3 linked regions of the Drosophila melanogaster genome follow. The protein of the gene in region 1 interacts with the protein of each later gene in a pairwise test. Each region holds a gene or a part of one and is shown in the gene's direction. Other genes may lie near its edges. The genes, in order: CG14692, CG11164 and CG2200.

Region 1 (7,836 bases):
CTGTCTCCTACTGTTATTTCATTTAATTTTCGGTAGTCTATTACAATTCTAAATTTCTGTTTGCCTGATGCATCTTGTTTCTTTGGAACCACCCAGATGGGGCTATTGTAAGGTGAATTACTGGTACGTATAATACCTTGATTTAGCATATCTTGTATTTGGCTTTCGACCTCCTGTTCATAAGCCTGTGGGTAACTGTATTTAGAGTAAAGTGGTAGATTGTGCTTTGTATTGATAGTATGTTTGGTTTGATTAGTAAATGTCAACTTATCACCTTCATGGTACTGTATGTCATGGTATTGCTGCAGGAGTGCGCACAATCTTTGTTTTTCTTCATTATTTAAATGTTCCAATCTGTATAGGTCTGATTCTAAAATGGGTGAAATTTTATTTGGCTGTCTGAGCATGGTGTCAGGTATCATATTTACAATTTGAAAATGACTCTGTTCATGTGTTGCTATTCCTTCTATTAATTTGTATTTGTTGTTGTAAAGAGTTACCTCTTGATCGCGGTAACTTATTGTTGCTTTTGCTTCTGCTAAAAGTTTTCTTCCTAATAAAAGATCGTAATTCTCAGAGAAAGGGTGCAATAAAAATTCATTTGTTGTTGGGAACAAAATCTTTGAAGGTATGATTATACTTTTGTTGACAATGAGCGGTCCATTGCTGGTATGAATAAAAGTACTAGTATTCTGGATTGGTAAATCAAATATATTTTTAGATGTCATGTTAACTGTTGATCCGGTATCAATAAGGCATTTCAAATTATTTTCTTTGTATTTAATTGTTATATATTGGGGTTTTCCAAGGCTTGTGGCTGAAAATTTTCGGCCTGTTCAACATTGGGTTCTTGGTTGTCATTGTTTGTCTCGTCTGTATTAATCTGCTGTAACTGTTGTGTTCTTTGTAAATTTTGGTTGTTTTCGTCAATTTGATATTGATTTTCTGGATAATAGTCTGAATGGTCGTAAGTTGGATAATAAAAATAGTCATATGGAACACACTGCTGATAAAAAGCGTCCTCTTGATATAATGTTTCGTCAACACTCATCCCAGTCTGTCCACTATTAGCTGGTCTTAATCGTTTTATTGGTCGATTGGGTACATAGGAACTTGAATTTTGTGTTGATTGTTGATTTTGATATTGGGGTTGTTGTCCGAACCTATTCTGATCGAATGCATTGTTTCGATTGGTGTTAAAAATTGGTCGAGATGTAAAGTTTGTACGTTGATTTGGTTGAAAAGCATTGTTTTGTTGGCTTGGTTGGAAAACATTGTTTGGATTAGGGTGGTAGGGTATTGGATGACGATAAAGTGGGTTATTAGTTGGTGGTGTTTGATAAATTTGTGGAGCTTGATATGGTATTGGTGAATTATAATGTAGGAAAGGTGTTGGATATTTTCTGATATTGTTAGACTGATTAGTATTTTGATTAAAGGACTTTTGTGGCTTATCAGAGAAATTTTGTTTTTGGACATGTGTACTTGTATGATTTATTTGTTCGTACATGCCCTTCTCTTGTAAAAGGTTTATAAGTGATCGCAAATCTGGTATGTTGTGGTTATTTATTCTTAAATAAATGTGTGTAGGTAATTTTTCAATTAGTGATTCTATACTGGATTTTATTAATTTCAAATAAAAAGTCTTTTCTTCAAGATCTTGCTCTAATTCAAGCTTACTAGTAAGTGTTTGTCTGCGGCTTTCTGCTTCTTCCAGGAATGCTCGTACATTGCCTCGAAATGGGGTCTTTCGAAACTCTTCTAAAAGAACGTGGTTAGGGGTCTGGGGTTTATAGTTGAGTACCAATTGTCTTCTAAGCTGCTGCCAGGTGTACATGTCATAGGCTCCAATGCAGCGCATAACTTCTCCGCTGATGCTGCGTTCAATATGCCCAAATATGATCTGCTGTTGGCGTTCATCTCCGGTAGCATAAAGAGCCAGTATGTAATCAATTCGACTCACAAAGGTGTATAGTGAGCCTGGATCACCGTTGAATTTCTCCACATTGCCAATCTGGTAGGCAACCTGGGTCATGTTGCTGTCTGATAGTGGTGGCACAATTGCTGGTTCTTGAGCCATTTTTGATTTTTGGATTATTTATTTATTTTTTTTATTTATTTTTTTTTTTTATTATTATTATTATTTAGTTATTATATTATTATTATCGTGTATTTTTTTTTTGTTTTTTTTTTTTTTTTTTTTAATATAGTTTTTAATATTTTTATATTTTTTTAATATTGTTTAATTTAAAATGTTGTCTTTTTATTTATTATTCTTATTTTTAATTTTTATCATATAGAATTTTCACTTATTTATTTATTATTCTTACTTTTAATACGTTTTAATTTTCGCTTATTAATTTATTATTTATATTTTTTTTTTTTTTTTTTTAAGATAGGTTTTGATTTTCACAAGGGTTGCACTATAGCTTTTTCGTGGGTCTTTGAGGTAACCAATTGGATTTACAGCCTCTCACAAATTCAATAGCGTCTTCCTGATAATAAATTCAGGTTTGTTTAGGCAAATTGTGATTTTTCGGTTTCACTTTATTGTCGAGGTTTAATTAAAAACTTAAAGCGATATTAACCGTCACGTGGGTGCCCGTTAGCGTGGTACTTTTGTCAGAGAACAAAAAGAACACAGGAATTGGCAAATCTGGTTACCGCATCAAGGAACTTTAACACTGATCACATCGACTGCGCCAATTGCAAATAAATGGTTGCAATAAATAGTTTTGAGTCTATTAAATGGACCGTTCCGAATATGAACTAAGACCAACGCTGAAAATTAAGTTTTGCCAAAATAAAACGAATCAAAATTTCGGGATCGATTTTGTTGTTTATTGATTAACGTTCAGCTTAAGACTAAAAATCAAATGAAAGTGAAAATGAGGAGAAGCCTCTGTGCTTGCTTAAAGAATATGTTAGTGTTTTTGGGAGAGCATTGCTTTTGGATTCTTAAGTGGAGGAGAAGCCTCAGAGAGAGCAGGCAGACTTTAAGATTTGTTTACAAGAATGGCTAAGTGCCGCTGTCAAAGAATTTGTTTATTAGAATGCATACTGCGCAGATGGCATACAGTATGGGGGTGTCAAAATGCAGAGTGGATATTTTTGTTATTTGATCCACATTAGCATGGTGGTCACTTATTGTTTACGTATGCGGCTTTTCAATATGTTTACTCTACGTTATGTGGTTTTGTATGTGAATATGTCACTATATACCATTTTTGGTTCAGGTAATAACATCTTAAAATATTTATTGGTAAGAATCCGCGTCACACTCCAGTTATTAAGGGTCATTACTGATCATATATATATATATATATATATAGAATCCAAGAATAAACCCTATACTTCATTTATAATTCCTTGTCGGCGCAACAAGTTGGAGCGACGTCAGCTGGTGATATGTTTTGGCACCCAGGGTGTTGACATGGCAACTGCCAGCCATCGAGGTTTCCATTGACATTCGGACACCTTCGTTGGTCAGTATTGATTCAACATTTTCCCATGCAAGGTGCCTGAGTTACCAAAATGACGACTGCGAGTTTACCAAGAGTTCCCGAGGGACTGCGGGACCTAATGAAGGTCTATACCAAGGAGGTGTTACGTGAAAAGCCGGCTGACTTGTATGGCTTTTCGGCCAGCTTTTTCAACATGATTGTCGGTGAAAAATCACATCAATCGGTGCGAAAATACGAACCGGTACAAACTTACGAAACCATCATGAAAAACCGCATACGTCAGCAAGTTCCTCTGTCCATGGTGTTTAATATAATACCAGAAAAACTCACCGACCTCATTAAACAGTTTATAAAAGCAGTTTTGAGAGAAAAACCGGACAATATATACATATTTGCACAGGAGTACTTTCAGCGGATGTCCAAGGAAAAGTCGGGTCGAATTGAGTACAGCAAGTACTCGTCCTATGAAAAGTCATTGAAGGACAAAGAACACCTAGCTCCTGCAACGAAAGTAACCTGTGAGTGTGGTCGAGTACTGAGTGCGAATAGAAAGGATGTGGAAAACACTGCATCCGTATATACAGACAACAAATTAGCCGAAGCCGATCAGCGAGAATTTTCCAGCAGAATTAGCTACATACAATCGGTCGTCATCATTCAAAGGCATTTTCGACGATATCTCAACGAGCGGAAAATAGGTCGCGATAAGGATAAATGCAATAGCGTGGACTATGTGGCAGCTATTCTCCTGATTCAACGGCAGGTGCGTCGCTATTTGGCCAAAAAGCGAGTGGCAGAACTTAAAAATTCACGTGACGCACAAAAAGCCGATGCTAAACCCAAAGCTGCCGACTATATGAAAGCCGTTGTCGTCATTCAACGACATTATCGCATATATTTGAAAAAGAAGCAGGAACAAAATCGATTGAAACATGGCCCAGTATCCTTAGCAACAGCAGCCATCATAATCCAAAGAGCCTACCGGCGAATGGTGGCACGACATAAGGCCAAAAGAACCACATCCATCGGGACAGATCAAGCCGAGGAACTCAATGACAATGCCTCCGAGACGGGATCCTACACATCCGTTTCCACCGCACTGCTCTCAACGGAATCCACCGAACTGGGAATGGCGAACTTCGAGGAACGAGTCCATCAAAAAATAATTCACGAGGACGAAGAAGTGGAGAACAGTAACGTTGATGCCGGCCTTAGGAAGGAGTATTTTGCGGAAACCATTAAGGGCGAACAAAAGTCGATAAATTTACGGAAAAGTGGTAATTATGCTAATGTTTTCCCATTAAATTTCATTCTTTAGGAAGAAGTTACTATTTATTTTCGTGTTGTAATCTAATAAAACGTAACAATTTTTCAGAAATTCTTAGCGGCGCCCTAATTGAAAGCATGATTTGCAAACCTGATTTGCAAAACATCAAGGATTTAAATAACGAATCAAAAGAAATCGATGTTGAGTTAGAGGTGAACGAGCATCAACCGGCTAAACTTGAAGAGCACATTACTGATGAGAAGAAAACTATTCAAGATTCTGAATCGGAACTTATAGTTGATAATAAAACAAGTCTAGATCTGGAAACGCTATCTCAAGTCGAGGTGAAAGCTGAAAATAAAAGTAAAGACTATAAGTCGGCAAGCGAGGATCAATTAAAATCGAATAAAAGCTTGGACGCAGAACAGGAAACTCATGTGGACTCTAAAGATAAACCACTTGCAAACGACTTAGATGATGCAATTAAAGCTGAAGACTCAAGCAGTGATCTTCTTAGAGAAAATCGCGAAGAAGACAGCGCATTGCATAGAAACACTGAGAAAAAAGAAAGTGAAGATGTACAAGAAAATATTGTGGAATCAGCTATCGCTTCATCTAATAATGCGAGAAATGTCGAAAAAGAAGATGAAATAATTCCGCTGCCTAAAATTCAAAATTCTAAAAGCCAATTACAGGAAATTTCACTTAAAAATAAAATTACTCCCACAGTTTCAATTGAAATTGAGCATGTTGAAGACATTTTGGAAGATTCATCCGCAAGTCCCAATGATTCTAAAGGTATGTACACTTATTACATTTGTAATCAAGATTTAATAAGTTCTAACTATATATTTAGCTGATGATCTAACTGAAGGGATATCTGTTACCGAAGAGCCTAAAAGTATCCCCAACGTAGAAGTAGATAGCTTGAAAAGCATTCTTATTAATCATAATCTAGAAGGTTGTGAGCAAGGTACGCAAGATAATAATTTAATACATAATTTAAATTACATTTAGAAACACCTATTTAGAAACATCTGCTGAAACTATAGTCGACATAAATTTTGAAGCAGCTGCAGCAAAGCAAGATATAGATTCAAATGAGATGATACAGTCTTCAGACACACATGAAAAGATTAGAGAAAAGAGAAGTATTGAATATGAAGACAATGTTCAATTGAATTCGGATTCTCAGAATGTGTTGATTGCCGAAAGCCCAATTGATCAGGAACAACTTAAGATAAACAATGACCAGACACTGGAGTTGGATAGAAAACCGGAAATAATACCTAAAGTGGAAGATGTGCCGAAAACAACACCAAATACAAAAGATGATGAAGTTTCCGGCAGCACTGAAAAATTAGAGATGAATAAAGAAGAGCCATTAGATGAAACCGTTGAGTTATCAAATCATGAAATAACGTTGAGCAAAGTGCTTAAAACTGGTAAATATTAAAATGATTTATATTTCTTATATTGACCAACACATTTTACATTAGTATCGGAAAATAAACAAGAACGAATGGAGGATTTACCATCTGAAGATAAAATTGTTAAAGATAGTACTTCAAGCTTAGCAGAGGATTCAAAGATGCCAGGTAAGTTAAAAAATATTGTAAAATATTAATCACACAAAACAAACATTTATAGAAGCAAAGAAAGAATCAAAATCAATTGATGAATTAGAGACAACGAAAGAGGTCCTTGAAGATATAATACATTCCGAAACTGATTTGTCCAAACAAAACATTAAAGAAAATGTTGAAGAAACGGGTACGTAAACTTATTAAATATTTGATAATTATTTTTATCCCTTTCTTGTGCAATTTTAAGATAAACCTCAATCTGATGACTCCCCAAAAGAACTAGAAAACTTAAAGGATAAAATAAAAATGCTGACACAAGAGGAAGTCACTCCAATAGAACCCGAAAGTTTAGAAACTAAGGGATTGTTGTCTACAGATAAAAACGATAAAAACAGCCTTTTCAGTAAAACTAATTCCGAAGAAAATAACAATGAATCACAAAATGTTGATGACATTACTGAAAAAACTGATTTGAAAAACGAAAAACATTTATTGGCTTCTCACATTTCTGTTACATCCTCAGGTAAGTGAATCTCTAGTTCGAACAAATGAAGAATAATAACTTAACAATATTGTTTTTTAACTTAAAAGGAATAGATGATAATGATATTCAGAACACAGCAGCTAGCGCAGAACTCTCTGTTATTGATGGTAACTAACTTTTAATATAGTTCTTGGAATAACACATTCTTATATTTATATATCTAAATGTAGGTGATATATCAATTAGGGAATCTGAAACGAAACATGTTGAAAATCGAGAAGAAATGGCTTCAACCAATCTGGACTCTGATCAAGTCGAAAATATGAAACTAGAAGGTGAGATTGGGCAATTGAAAACTGTATTTGAACAATCGGAGGAAAAAACTAGTCCAACCAAATCGGAGTCTTTGCACGCTGAAGATCGCAAAATTTCAGGAAAATCGAAGGAATCTTTAGAGGATGCAGGAGGTACATACGTATACATTTTTCGTTGACATAGATTATGAAATAAGATGGTTTTATTTTATTTTTCAAGACGAAAACAGAGCTGTTGAAGAAATTATTGATATCACAGGTAATTTAATATAATAGTATTTGTTTACAATTCAACAGTTCAATCAAAATCCATATATACTTAGCAGAAAACGACCGGTCAACTTTACTTGAAAACCTGCCTTCATCAGAAAAAGAAAATTCAACTTCACTTGATGAAAACCCCTTACCAGAAAAAGAGTCAACATCACTTGATGAAAAACCTTCATCAGGAACAGAAAAGTCAACATCACTTGATGAAAAATCTTCATCAGAAAAAGAAAAGTCAACTTCACTTGATGAAAAACCTTCATCAGAAAAAGAAAAGTCAACTTCACTTGATGAAACCCCTTCATCAGAAAAAGAAAATTCAACTTCACTTGATGAAAAACCTTCACCAGAAAAAGAGTCAACATCACTTGATGAAAAACCTTCATCAGGAACAGAAAAGTCAACTTCACTTGATGAAAAATCTTCATCAGAAAAAGAAAAGTCAACTTCACTT
Region 2 (6,948 bases), on another chromosome or scaffold:
TGATATCTTGATCCCTGCTTCTTTAGCACAATGCCCTCGGCGTGGGAGTCGAGTGCCTGCTGGAACAGCTCGTTGAACTCTTGAACGGAACCGATTTTGCGTGCACGCATCAACTGCAGCACACCCGACTGTTCAACTATGAGTTTCTGCAATTTGTACGCCCGCTGAATGTAGGTATGGTCCAGCAGACTCTGGCCATTAAAATATAGCAGATCGTACACCACGAAACATGGCTGCCAGCTGCCCTCCGGCTTCAGGCTCTTCACGTCCGTATTCTCGCCTTTTTCCCGAAAGCGCAGTTTGTTGGTATCCCACACCATCATCTCGCCGTCGAGTATGATAGACTCCAGACCCAGCGGCAGAAGTCCCCTCAGCTTTGGCGTTAAGGTGCCGTGATCGTAGCTGTGACCAAAGTTTCTGGTGTAGTCCACTCCATTGCGGGAAATGTACATGAAACGACCCCGATCGATGTGCAGCTGAAAGCGTTCGCCATCCATTTTGGTCTCCAGATAGAGCACATCCGACTGCATCAGCTCCTGGATGTCACCGGGGAATCGTTCGCACAGCATGGGACGTATCTGGTGGAATGGCCGTATGACGGAATTCAGGTTTACAAACTTGACCGCCGCCTTGCTGTCCTTGCTGCTGCTGGCGTCTAGGTCGGTGGTTCGGTCTGCCAGCAGATTGCACACATGTCCCAGATCGGAGCAGCGCTGGTAGATATCCTGCGCCTTGGGGTGCAGCACACCGAAAATCTTTTGCTCACCGATCCCCAGCCCGAGGCTCTTAAGCAGCAACCGAATTAGCCACTTCTGTTCCTCAGGCGAGGCCTGCTCCGTAAACCGGATGAGTTGCTGCTGCTTAACTGCAAAGAGCGGTCTCATTAAGACGTTCAGTCGTTCAGATCAGTTTAAAAGCGCCCACCTTCTGTGTCCTCGTTGGCAATGGTGTCCAGCATCTGATGGATTTCTTTCAGTCTCAAATTGCTGGGCGGATTAAAGCACCTTGGCTTAAGCACGGAATAAACAACATCACCGTAGTCCCGGTACATGTTTCCGTTGCGGTGCTGCAGCCTGATGGCATCGCTGGCTAGTAGAGACAACAAAGAGATTCTAAATAAGCCTAAATGCCATTGCCAATACGTTTCTGCACTCACAGTCCGTGGGTAGCTGGAGCACCCTGATGTAGAGCCTGCCCAGCGCGGTGATCTGCAATCCATAGGTATCCCGACCAGTGTCCGCACCCGGAAGCAGCAGTCGCAGCACGGAATAGAAGCTACTGGCACCGTCCTCCGGCTGGTCGTTGTTTAATCCGGTTTGCCGGCGAAAGGATTCGCGGTGGCGACAGAAGGACTCGTAGTAGCTCTTGAGGACCTCCTCCTTGTTAGCCACCTTTTGCGTGGCCTTAATCTTCTCGAACAGGCTGCAAATATCCCGGAACTTGATCGTGCTGGCTATATCTACGCTCATTTTGTTGTTTAAAAACAATATACTGTTGTAAACAATTTCATCACTGTGAACATCTGTTCAAGCAATGTGACCGCGCTTCTCAATCAAAGTTAATACCCATTTTAGACTAGTTGCAATATTAAGATGCGGACGTTAGTGGCAGAGATTATTTAATTTTTAAGCTCTTCTATTTGGCATAAAATAGATAAAATAGTTTATAGGAACAAGTTAAAATTAGCAGACTATATAAAATACCAAAATTAATCGATAGACTTCTATCAATAACCAAAAAGGCGGCAAATCGTTTGTTTTGGTTCGGTCCACAGTTATTGACTTTTGCTTCACGCTTGGCAAGTTATTCGAGAAAATGGGCAAAAAGGAAACGCGAGCGAGAAAACCAAAAGCTGATCCGGATGCGGAGGGATCTGCCAAGATGTGCAAGGCCTCGGCACTGAAGAAGGTGTTCTTCATGTCGGAGGAACTGCTGCCCAAAGATGCGGACGACGGACACCTTCGGCTGGAGATGTTTTTCCATCCCGGACATGGCAAGGAGGCACTGTTCATAACCCATCCCGATGGCAGAATGATGGAGCTGGTGGCGTTCACGGAACCCCGACGCAGTTGGTTCGTGGACAGCGAGGTCTGCTCCAACGGCAGAATCTACATGACCGCGCCCGTGGATCCCACGTTCCTGGCTCTTCATCACCTCCGAAAACATTGTGCGCAAAGTAAGATATTATCATTCGCTTTCGATGGTATACTATACTATTGTATTCTTGAAAATCTTTAACCACAATCAGGAGCAATATCGCTGGACAACATTGCCGTGGAGGAGGCCAGCACCAGTCGTCTGCTTAACGAGATCCTCGACCCAGGGAACCTTAAATGCGTGGCAGATGTGAAGAGCTCTGGCGAACAGAAGTTCTACAAGTACAACCAAGAGCGCACATTGGCTTGGTTGGCTCTGAAGACGCGCCAGGTGGCGAAGATCCTGAAGGAGAAGCAAGTCCACTGCGGCCACAGTGCGCAGTCGCAGAATTTCGTGCGAAGCGAGAAACTGGTAGCTGAGAACGTTAGCAACGAAATGGACTACACGCGCATGGCTTGCGATTATGTGGGACGGTATTTGGATGCGGATCTGCACGGCTTGCTCACCAGTTACCTGCACATTCCTAGCGAGATTCAGGCGATTGTTGAGGAGAAAGCAGCTTCTCAGAAGCGCAAGTCGGTGGCGGGCAAGAACGAGGGCAGCGACTCCAAGAAGATCAAGCTAAATGAGAGCGATGCTGCTGCCAAGCTAAAGTCCAGCGGTCTAGTGGACAGCGATGGCGATCCCAATGCCACCATCACATCGCCCACAGCGGCGCCTCTGAAGGAGCGCTCGCTGACCGCCAAGGAGAAGGCCCTGGCCAAAGGAGCCAAGGGCACTAAAAGCATCGCATCGTTTTTCAAAGCGAAGTAGATTAACGTTTCACAGATCTTAAGAATAGGTTTTAACTCCTTATTTTATATATATACTCTATTTAATACAAATGTACACTTTTTTTTACAATGAATATAGTACTTTAAAGAATTACTTTTGTTATTTTAAGATTTGTATTCATAAATTTGGTATTTTGAAAGTGCGCCTTTTTGGCGCATGCGCTGTTTGATCATCTCTCTTGATTCCGTTTGGTAAATCCCCATCAGCTGTTGGCGTTGCCAGGCTTCTAAGGAATTGGTTTACTTAGAGGCTTCAGTGCCAAATGTTGCGAATAAAGAGTTTCTTAGTCGACATATTTTTTTAGGTATACCATATAAGCATATTAAGTAATGCTAATTAAACATATGAAATCAGAGTATACTAATAAAACTAACTAGAAACGAAATTAATTTTTGGGGATTCATGCAACACATATGATTTCAATCCTTAGTTCATTGCGCGGGGTGGCAATCCTGGCCGTCAGTTACAAAGCTGCTGGCTCCTTTGTTTCCGTTTTTGTCGCTCAGTTGTTGCTGTGCGCGCTCCCACGTTCGAGGCTAACGGTGAATTCCGCTTTGCGCCTTGATTCGCATTTCGCCACCCCCGTTACCCATTCGCCCGCAACCGAATATCCTGCTACTCCTGCTCTTGTTGTTGTTGTTGTTTTCTATATGCCTTGAATTTTCGGAACAACAATTACAGGGGTTACATTAGTGAATTTTCCCGTTAGCCGTGTGTCCCAAAGCCAGTGCTCAAGTTTAAATTGTGAAAGGCAGAGAAAGGAAAAGAGTGGCGTCACACGAAAGAAAATTTTCTTTGGCGTCGTCGAGGTGTTTGTGCCTTAGTGTGTGTGTATGTGTGTGTGCGAATGTGTTGTGGTTGGTGTGGCATAAGATAAATAATACAATGCAGCACTCAGTTAGCAACAAATTCTCTCTTCTCTGCAGCAGCAGCAACAACAACGGCAGCAACACCAACAATCGCAACGCAACGCACAAAAGCATGCTACGGTAAATTGCATTTGGCGTCTGTCAAGGACAAAACAAAGCGCTGTTTGTGTGAGTCCGACCACAACAACAATAGCAACAACAGCATGTGGTACAAATAACGGAACTGCAAAGTATCAACAGCAAAAGAAGCAAGTAGAAAGCCAGATAGGAAAGCAAAACAAAAGACAGGAACAAATCGCACACGAGGGCCAAAACGGACACAAAACGGAGGCTGCGACAAGAAGAAAGCGAAGAATCGAAGAAAATAAGGGAGAGGCACACACTCCCCGCACCTCCTCCCCTCACCAGCCCCGTAGGACATTTGGCGCCAGTCCGAGCAGCAACTGCGACAGCGGCGTCGACTGAGGCAGCGTCAGCGGCTGAGAAAGATGTGGCTCCGTCCCTCTCCCTCGCACACAAACGCGCTGCAGTGTCTCCTGCTCTCCTTGTTCCTCCTTTTGGGGCTGCTGCCAGCGAACGTAAGTGCCCTTCATTTCATCAATGTTGCAAGCACTCAAACTAGCATAATAACCGAAAAACAACGAAATGTTATGCTGTAGTTAATTTTTAAGCGCATTTTACACATGTAAATTGTCAAGGTGATAAAAATCGCTTGTGAATTCATTTAAAACAAGACACTATACGTTTCACTGCATGCTTTTGGGAACCTTTGTATGTGCGAGCAATTTAAACTTTGGTTTTCAACACTGTAATATTTTGATTAAATACAATTATTGTGCGCTTGTTGCAATTTGGGCCCACGAAACGCCTTAAAAAAAGATAACAGCTAATCTTTGTAAAAAGTTTTTTAAATAAACGCAAGCGCATCCATGTTGCATGCACATTTGAATTTTAAATTGATTGCGATTGCTTTCCCAACGGTAATAAATGCATAGCACACAAACATAAATATGAGCACAAGAACAAGGGCGCAGTACAGTGGTCGCTCGCTATACAAAAACACCACAAAAATAACAAGCTGTTGTTTATATTCTTTATTTATTGGCAATGACAATTTCAAAGGTGTATCGACAAAAAGTGGAATACATTATTTTTTATCATAAAAAATGTGCAAATATTTCTCATGATTAAACGAATAATATATGCAATGTCTTGTTCCATTTTCCCAGGTGTCTGCCAGATTTTGCGAGGGCTGCACTCAGGGCTGTTGCACCCAGGGCTGCTGTCCGCCGTACCAGGGCGGGCCACGCCCCCTTCCGCCCTCCTCGGACTCGCATGTTCTCAATCTGTTCTTCGCCACCCACTGGTTTTTCTGGTGAGTAGTGTTGACCCGGAGAAACTCCTCCTTTTGGAAACTTCTCTGTCTATCTAACTTATCTATTCGAAATTGTAAAATAATAGGAATCTTTCGGAGACAGTGATTCTTTTAATTGCGCAAAGTAGAAGTGATTTATTTAGCTACTGCGATGGTCACGGTCATCATGAATTGCACTGTTTTTGTTTTTGTGTTTGGGGATTCCCCGGAGGTCGTCTGCAAGGCCGTTCAATGAGGCGGGTTTTTGGGGCGTTGGAATGGTGGGATGGATTGGATGGCGTGGGTTTTCAGTGTGCTCTGGCCGGACTTCCAGCTGATTGGCATTGTGTGCCATGCGAGAGATATTATTATTATTGGCAGAAAAGGTGGCGCCCAGCGACGGGGTTGCGTCAAGTCAAATGTCGAGTCAAGTCGAGAGGCTTATGCAAGCTGTACCCCCGTGCTATGCCACCACTACCATCAGTGCGACCAGCACATAGTACCGACCACCTCCCTTGGGGGCTGTGGAAATGGCAATGCCAACTAATGAGACACAAACGGAACCCGCACACCGCCACCCAGCTCATATAATCCCATCTCTTGGCCATCGAAAAGGCAAACAAATTTCAGTCGGAATTCGATTACGGGAACAGCAGGACACGGATCCGGATCCGTATCCGCACCCACATCCGCATCCACTACTCCAATGGGCTTCTTCATTCAGTCGCGCCAGCTGCAAACCGAGCAGTGAATAACGATCCTCACTTTGATATTACAAAGATTGATTGAAAATCTATATTCTTATTGCAGGTGCGTGGTTGTGGCCATCATCTTGGCCATCCTGTGTGCCTACTCACTATGGAAGAAGCGGCGGACACTATGCGGCTGGGGATTCAATGAGCACCACACCCAATCCGAGGGCGATTCCGCCGGCTCCTGCTATGCACCACCACAATATAGTCGCTGCAACTCGTTTCACCATCCGCCGCCGCCATATACGGAGGTAATGTAATCATATACATGACCGGAATCGATTCGCTTAACAATTTCCATCTTCTCAGGTGACCTCCAAGCCGGATCTGTATCCACTTGTCTTCACCTGCAACAGCGATTCGGGCAATGGCAAGGGCAACGGCAGCTCCAGCTACCTGATGGTGCAGTACTTCCGGAACTACATCGTCCGTCCGGCTGCCGGGGGATCCCTGAGTGCGGCCAGCACCGTCGACTCCCTAAGCTCCAGCTTCATTTGCAATGCGAATGAGGCGAATACCCTGGTGCCACCACCATACTCACGGGCAGCCAGTCCGGAGTTAGGACTGCATCATTATGTGGCCCATGCCCATGCGCATGCCAATGCTAATGTCAATGCCAATGCAAATGCCCATGGACACGGGAATGGCCATCTGAGATCTGTGGAACAACAGGCGCCATCGCATCAGGTGCCAAATGCTCCGCTGGCATCTGTGCACTACGCCATGCCGAGATCGGCATCCCAGCTGGTGGAAACGGATGCCTATCAGCCGAGACTGATGCCCGCCCAGACGCAGGCCCAGCATTATGCCACCGTGGCACTGGGCAGTGCACCGGGCGGAGCAGCGCTCTACAGCACGCGGCTGCATGCATCTCACGAGGAGGGAGTTGGCGTGGGCGTTGGTGTGGGCTACCTTCAGTCCCAGAGTGATCAGCACTTCCGGTATATGGCGAATAGCAGCAGCAGTCTCAGCGACATCTTTGTGAACAACAGCTGTGTGGCAGGTGGGTATTGTGATAAGGAATTTCCTATTAAAATACTTA
Region 3 (6,592 bases), on another chromosome or scaffold:
AATATTCGAGAACAGCACCGCCTTGTAATGGATTTGGACATATCGATGAGATCCAGCGACTGCCCCTACACCGTCCACTTTTATGGTGCGATGTATCGCGAGGGCGATGTCTGGATTTGCATGGAGGTGATGAGCACCAGCCTGGACAAGTTCTATCCGAAGGTCTTCCTTCACGATCTGCGAATGGAGGAAAGCGTGCTGGGCAAGGTCAGCTGGGGAGGATTGGGGGCGGGTCTAATCTTATCGGGCAATCGCCACTATACTATTACCGTACTACTGCCTTTGCTTTACAGATTGCCATGAGCGTGGTCAGTGCGCTGCACTATCTGCACGCTCAACTGAAAGTCATTCATCGGGACGTCAAGCCCTCGAACATACTGATCAATCGGGCCGGCCAGGTCAAGATCTGTGACTTTGGCATCTCAGGTGGGCTGGCATTCTGTGACTTCTTGCCACTGTAATCATTCTAATATTGGACTGACTTTTAGGCTACCTCGTCGACTCCATTGCCAAAACCATTGATGCCGGTTGCAAGCCGTACATGGCGCCGGAACGGATCGATCCCCAAGGAAATCCGGCGCAATACGACATCAGGTCGGATGTTTGGTCGCTGGGCATCGGCATGATCGAAATGGCCACGGGCCGCTACCCATACGACAATTGGCGAACGCCATTTGAGCAACTGCGTCAGGTGAGTGCCTACCTCTGGCTGGTAACTGTCACAAAGAGGATCTTCAAGATTTTTCCGGACAAAATATGTGTCATTTAGTCAATTTGGGATTTTAGGTCCTAATTATACAAAGGCTACCGATCCGATAATGTATTCCATCTTATCATATATGTAATGAACATTTGGATTTTTCCAATTGTGGTAGCTAAAAGCTTTTAAGAAGGGTGGAATTTCTAAAAATTTGATAATTAATAATCAATTGACACGTTTGATTGGAGCTTATGTTTTTTCACAGATAATCCGTCGAAAATAGTATAAAAATAGTAGTTATAGCCACTCATAATCATATACGAAGCAAATGCTGAGTATTATTATTTCCTGCTAATGATTTTGTTAATATTAATGTCAAGAACCAACTTTCGTTACATAACTTATTGGGGGCTCACAAATAACTATTAAGTAATTTTAATTAAAAATATAACCACTTGTTCTCAAGCACTTTACACGTACAATAAACTCTAAAAAAAACCATTAGTAATGTGCCAAGCTGCTGTGGTTATCAGAATACTAAACAAAACTATTAATAAACATACAGAATGAGGCTTTTATCAGAGGGATTTTGTAACCGATCTAAACCACAAGTTTTCGCATCGTGCGTAATTAAGAACCTATTTTTTTTTTTATTATCTTTTAGGTGGTTGAGGACAGTCCGCCGCGCCTGCCGGAGGGAACATTTTCGCCGGAATTCGAGGACTTCATCGCCGTCTGCCTGCAGAAGGAGTATATGGCAAGGCCCAACTACGAGCAGCTGCTCAAGCACAGCTTCATCGTGGAGCACCTGCAGCGCAACACGGACATCTCGGAGTTCGTGGCCAGGATACTGGATCTGCCCGACGCGCAGCCGGCGCAGTAGGTTAATGGCCGGGTAGCAGGTTAATGGTTAACCCATGGCGCCGCCCCCTTAACCCCTTAAGCCGTGCCCGTGCCCGTGTAAATTGCCGCCGTCTTCTTCTAGCATGCATTTCGTACATGTTGTGTGTGTGTCCCCCGTCTGTGTGACAGCAAAAGGAATAAAACTTTATTTGAATGGAGTCCAAGGAAACCCCAAAAACAAACCCAACAGCAATCAGCAATAAGCGTCAGCTAATCTAAAGATACAAAATGGAAAGTGCATAATTATTAATTTAAGTGAGAGAAGCAACAGCAACATAACCGTTACTAGCAAACCTGCAATATGCATAATGCAACAATCGCCTTGCAACGCTCAAAAATGGATAACCGAACCGTGCCTCCCAGCTGGCGATGCTGCTGATGTCTTGAAGCATAATACCATTTTAATATATATTTTTAAATGAGAATAGCTTAGTCAACGAAAAACAAGAACAGAAGCAAGCAAAGCATTGAATGTAAAAACGTACTAAACTTAAATGATAATTTGTGAACTTTTGAACACCAAAATAGTCGAAAAGAAAGTGTTTATAATTATAATTGTTTAACAAATATATATTACGTAAAATAGCTAAATCCTGTTGTATTTGTATGAGAAATATTCGTTGCAAATGGTGAAAATTCTCAATGTGATTGGTATCACAATCTTAAGAATTTTGTTATTGCCTAAATGGGCAAATAAAACCAAATACTCCAGCTGAAATTCAAAAATTGCGGCCGATTTCAGTGCATCATGAGTGCAACGATGCACCAAATGGAAATCGTAGATATGTATGTACATATATAGATATATGGTATCGATAGCTTTTCATCTGGTATCAGGGTTCCATTGACGTGGAGAACCTTTGCGATTTGCAAGGCATTCCCGCACTACGTGAGTTTCCTATCGATATCGAAGAACTCGCAGATACGCAGAGTATTTACTTTATACAGCTAATGGAGTGGTTAAATTTCTGGAAAATAAACCCCTTTCATGGAATTTCACCCACACCCATGCTTTTCCGGCGCCTTGTGATAAGCTCGCATGGAGGAGTTACTTGCTCCGATATTTCTGGAGCCCATCCCTAGCGGCTGGCCATAAAACCCTGATAATCTTCTGGTCGACTGGCTGAACCATCCAGTGAACCATCCATTGGCCCACGATTAGATTGCTAAAGAAATGGCCAGTGCACGGAACCTATTGTTGCTATCCTCGTCGCGTTTGCACGGCCATGGATACTTGGAGCATGCGCGCGGCCAGCTGGAGGATCTCTTCAAGAGGTAGGTGACTTACCATTTGAGATATGTACATTATTATTCTTTTACAACAAAGTGAATTCTTTCATTGGTAAATTGAACAAACCCTCCGATTCCTTGCAGTGCCAATGTGAAGACCGTGCTCTTTGTGCCCTACGCTCTGCGGGATCACGACAAGTACACTGCCACCGTGCGCGATGCACTGCAGCCGTGGGGATTCAATGTGGAGGGACTGCACACGAAGCCGGATCGCGAGCAGGCATTGCGGGAGGCACAGGCCATCTTTGTGGGCGGCGGCAACACCTTTGTGCTGCTGCGTTCGCTCTACGAGATGAAGTTGCTCGATCCGATTAGGGAACTGGTGCTCCAGCGTGGATTGCCTTACGTGGGCAGCAGTGCGGGCACAAATGTGGCAACTCGATCCATTCACACCACCAACGACATGCCGGTGGCCTATCCGCCGAGCTTTGAGGCACTCGCCCTCGTTCCCTTCAACATCAATCCGCACTATCTGGATCCGGAGGCGGGTAGTCGGCACAAGGGCGAGACGCGAGACGAGCGGCTGGAGGAGTTCGTCGCATACCATGGACTGCCCGTGCTGGGTCTTCGCGAGGGCACCAGTGTCCGGGTTCAGGGCGAGAAGGCCATCCTCCTGGGCGATCGCAATGCCAAGCTGTTCAAGGCGTAAGTACACACTTCCAATCGGACAAATTGGGTTTCATGGTTTCTTACATTCAAATAACTTTAATGTTATTTATACAATTTAAATGTAATTTATTTTCGTTTATTTTTCAGTGACGGTGGCACCGAGGAGCTAGCACCCCTAGCGGATCTCACCTTCCTGCTGCAGAAATAACCAAGCAAAACGATCGAATTAAAGAGAACATTGATGTTTATTGTACATATGCACATTCATAATTTGTTTTATTCTGCAATAACAACAATTCCTACACGTAAGCAGTACACATACAGTAGTTGTACACTATGACTAAATGTATAAAAAGTTTGGATAGAGGTATAACCCCTGACGAGTGTACATATATCTAATAAATTTTGTAATAAATTAATCGGATTTCCCCTCGTAAATCGTAATGATAAGAATTTGACTGGCAGACTTCTTATTCGATGCTAAAACTGATGTGCTGGCAAAATGATCAAATGGATAACATGGATACACTAACAATGGACATCGGCTAAATGAAACTGGCAAGCACTTAAACAATATATATATTTTTTTTTATTTACAATGGGCTTTTTCATTGCCACAAAAGCCCTGATAGCTAGCAATACTTTTGGATTGTTATTTTGTAGGCAAAGTTTCGATAGAATTATGGTTTATGTTTTCAGGCAGCCGATGCTAAGACTTAAGCTCTAACTTTTAAAGAGGAACACGGTCAAAGTAAGCACTCCCCGATTTAGACCAGTTTTTTAACAGTAATTCCTTTTTGTTTTTTGTTTTTTTTTTTGGCACACCGTCTTTGAGAGAGCCCATTTATACAGGGATTGTAACACTTTGAGGCAAGGCGGCATCTGGTTATTTGTCGTACAGCCAAATCGTTCGTTTCACTTAGATTAGTTTAGTTGTATAACACTTAGCTTAACTAGTCGTTTAAATAGGAGTCAATGGTGCAATGCTGCCTGCGTAACTTATTAGGAATCGTTAATAGAGATATGTGGCGTATGCTAAGTATTTACATGCGAAAATCGAATGTCTGTTGAATGGCTCGAACAACAAGTGTCCCACATTTGTCCTACGAGTTTTGGCAGCTAAAACTACGCTACGTTAATAACTAACTAACCAACTAACTAATTGCTGTGTCTACCATTTTTGAGCATTGAAAGTTTCACTTTAAAGCAAGCAACAACGGGAATCGCCTAGGCCCAAAACACTAAGTTCGGATTGAGATAGGTCCACTGCTGGTCTTATACTTGGGTCCCAGTCCCACCATCATTTCATTTATGAATAGGATTTAATTTAAGCCTTGGATGCGAGTATAAGAGTTGGCATGCACACACACACACACACACACGCACACAGGGATCACATTCATTCGTTCAGCTCAATCAATCACACGGTCATGTACACAATGGGAATATCTTAAAAAGGAACTGATGATATTACAGGCAGGAGCTGGAGCTGGAGCTGGAAAGGAGCCTTCGGATCCCAACTATTTGTGTAGAATACTTTTGTCCTCGTAGCGTATTATGGCGTCGCCGATCTGCTTGCGCGACGCCAGGTGGATGCACTGCTCCCGACCGCAGCGTTCCGGCACGCTCTGCGGCAGCGTTCCTCCGCGTGCCAAGTGATTCCGCACATCCTGGCCGAAGCGCAAATTCGGTTCCACTCCGCGCAGTATATGCACCGAGTGCTGTGCCGCCACGAACATATCGAGAATGCTTTCCACGCCCGGTGGTCGCGTCTCCTCGCCAGGCTGCAGCAGCAGCTGGTCGATGTCCAGGTCGCTGCGTATGATCGGCAGTCCCTGCGGATGTAAGAGCTTGCGAGCTGAAGCGGAAGGAGTATGGAGTAAATAAAAGTCCAATTAACTGGAAAAGTTTCCTCCATCACTCACCCTGGACATAATCCCGACTATAGAAAGCGATCACGTCGTGGTTATGGCGATCGAAGTAACCGCTGCTCTGGCTCACGTCGCAGGTGTCGCACTCACGGCAGAAATGCGCCCAGCGGCATGGGTACATCTGGAAGCCGATTGGTGCGTACACCTGGAAGCCCTGTATCGTGTTCATGCGCACGCGATTCAGAAAGTCCGCCTTGAAGACCATGCCTGGCGTGGCCAGCAGCACGAGGGATTCGAGGCCCAGTTTGGGCAGTGCCAGATCCGCAACCACCAGACTGAGAAGCTGGCGTGGTCCATACATGGAGGCGTGCAGCAGCCAGCTCTGCGGATCCACCGGTTCGCTCAGCTGCTCCGGCAGCCGGATGGACACCCAGGCGATCCGAGAGCCATCGGTCTTGTACTTAGATGACAAGTCAAGGGCCAGTGTCTTCAGTGCTTTGAAGGGATCCTCGTCGCCCTTGCTGGGCGACTCCAGTCGGTACATGAAGATCTGAGAGGTAAAATAGTGATTACATTATTCTGCCTTCAAATTGTATATGCTTTCGATCTCACCAGCAACAGGAATGTGTTGTCCTGATTTTGCATACAAATCCTTTCGTACTGTTCCACAAACAGCAGAGCATCCGGCACCTGGTGCTCAAAGGCGGGCACCAACATGGCAATTCTTGTGCTCTCGGTGACGTAGGGCGAGGGCACCACCTCCACGCGACCCAGTGGCTTAACCACCTCGAAGCTCTTGATCACGAGCCGGCGACTGCGACCCGATCCCTCCTGCAGATTGAGATGCAGCTGGTAGTCCATGCCGCGTGTGGCATCGAACTTCCGATAGGCACTGTGCAGACTGTGGTAGCTCAGGCGCGGATGCTTAAGTGCGGCATACTGTAGTGCTATCTCCAGGACTTTGGCAAAGTCCTGTGCCTCGATCCGCGACAGCGTTGCCACCGCATGCTCCGCATTGCCATTGGGCAGAAAGTTGTGCGTCCCATTGAGCAGCTGCCACGTGAGGATGTCGTGACGCGTCTCCGGCGCACTAGGTGGCGGCACGCCCAATGGCCACCGGATCTCGAGAATCTTGTTCGATATACTCCCATTGGCAATCCGGTACGATTTCTGCTCTAGAGCATAGCCCCGCTCCTGCACCTTCTCCAGATGGTGCTGC

What was found.
Region 2: the proteins of CG14692 (region 1) and CG11164 interact in a two-hybrid assay, tested with the Drosophila melanogaster proteins (one large-scale study listed by BioGRID).
Region 3: the proteins of CG14692 (region 1) and CG2200 interact in a two-hybrid assay, tested with the Drosophila melanogaster proteins (one large-scale study listed by BioGRID).

The regions. Positions count from the first base shown.
Region 1 is NT_033777.3:10,799,608-10,807,443, reverse strand, and holds the start of CG14692 (uncharacterized protein), read left to right. Parts: upstream 1-3,488; 5' UTR 3,489-3,534; coding exon 3,535-4,741; intron 4,742-4,839; coding exon 4,840-5,529; intron 5,530-5,587; coding exon 5,588-5,704; intron 5,705-5,762; coding exon 5,763-6,176; intron 6,177-6,230; coding exon 6,231-6,329; intron 6,330-6,381; coding exon 6,382-6,504; intron 6,505-6,564; coding exon 6,565-6,840; intron 6,841-6,908; coding exon 6,909-6,968; intron 6,969-7,031; coding exon 7,032-7,268; intron 7,269-7,335; coding exon 7,336-7,374; intron 7,375-7,441; coding exon 7,442-7,836.
Region 2 is NC_004354.4:13,666,272-13,673,219, forward strand, and holds CG11164 (uncharacterized protein), read left to right. Parts: upstream 1-1,742; 5' UTR 1,743-1,815; coding exon 1,816-2,176; intron 2,177-2,248; coding exon 2,249-2,910; 3' UTR 2,911-3,302; downstream 3,303-6,948. Other genes in the region: DNAlig4 (DNA ligase 4), read right to left, coding at 1-865, 925-1,089, 1,157-1,469; CG15760 (uncharacterized protein), read left to right, coding at 4,289-4,378, 5,030-5,175, 5,965-6,157, 6,216-6,909.
Region 3 is NC_004354.4:13,091,796-13,098,387, forward strand, and holds CG2200 (uncharacterized protein), read left to right. Parts: upstream 1-2,503; 5' UTR 2,504-2,777; coding exon 2,778-2,878; intron 2,879-2,977; coding exon 2,978-3,538; intron 3,539-3,649; coding exon 3,650-3,710; 3' UTR 3,711-3,937; downstream 3,938-6,592. Other genes in the region: lic (licorne), read left to right, coding at 1-207, 294-426, 489-691, 1,365-1,583; Chpf (chondroitin polymerizing factor), read right to left, coding at 5,023-5,360, 5,428-5,923, 5,986-6,588. UniProt on the Drosophila melanogaster protein: Hydrolyzes dipeptides containing N-terminal aspartate residues.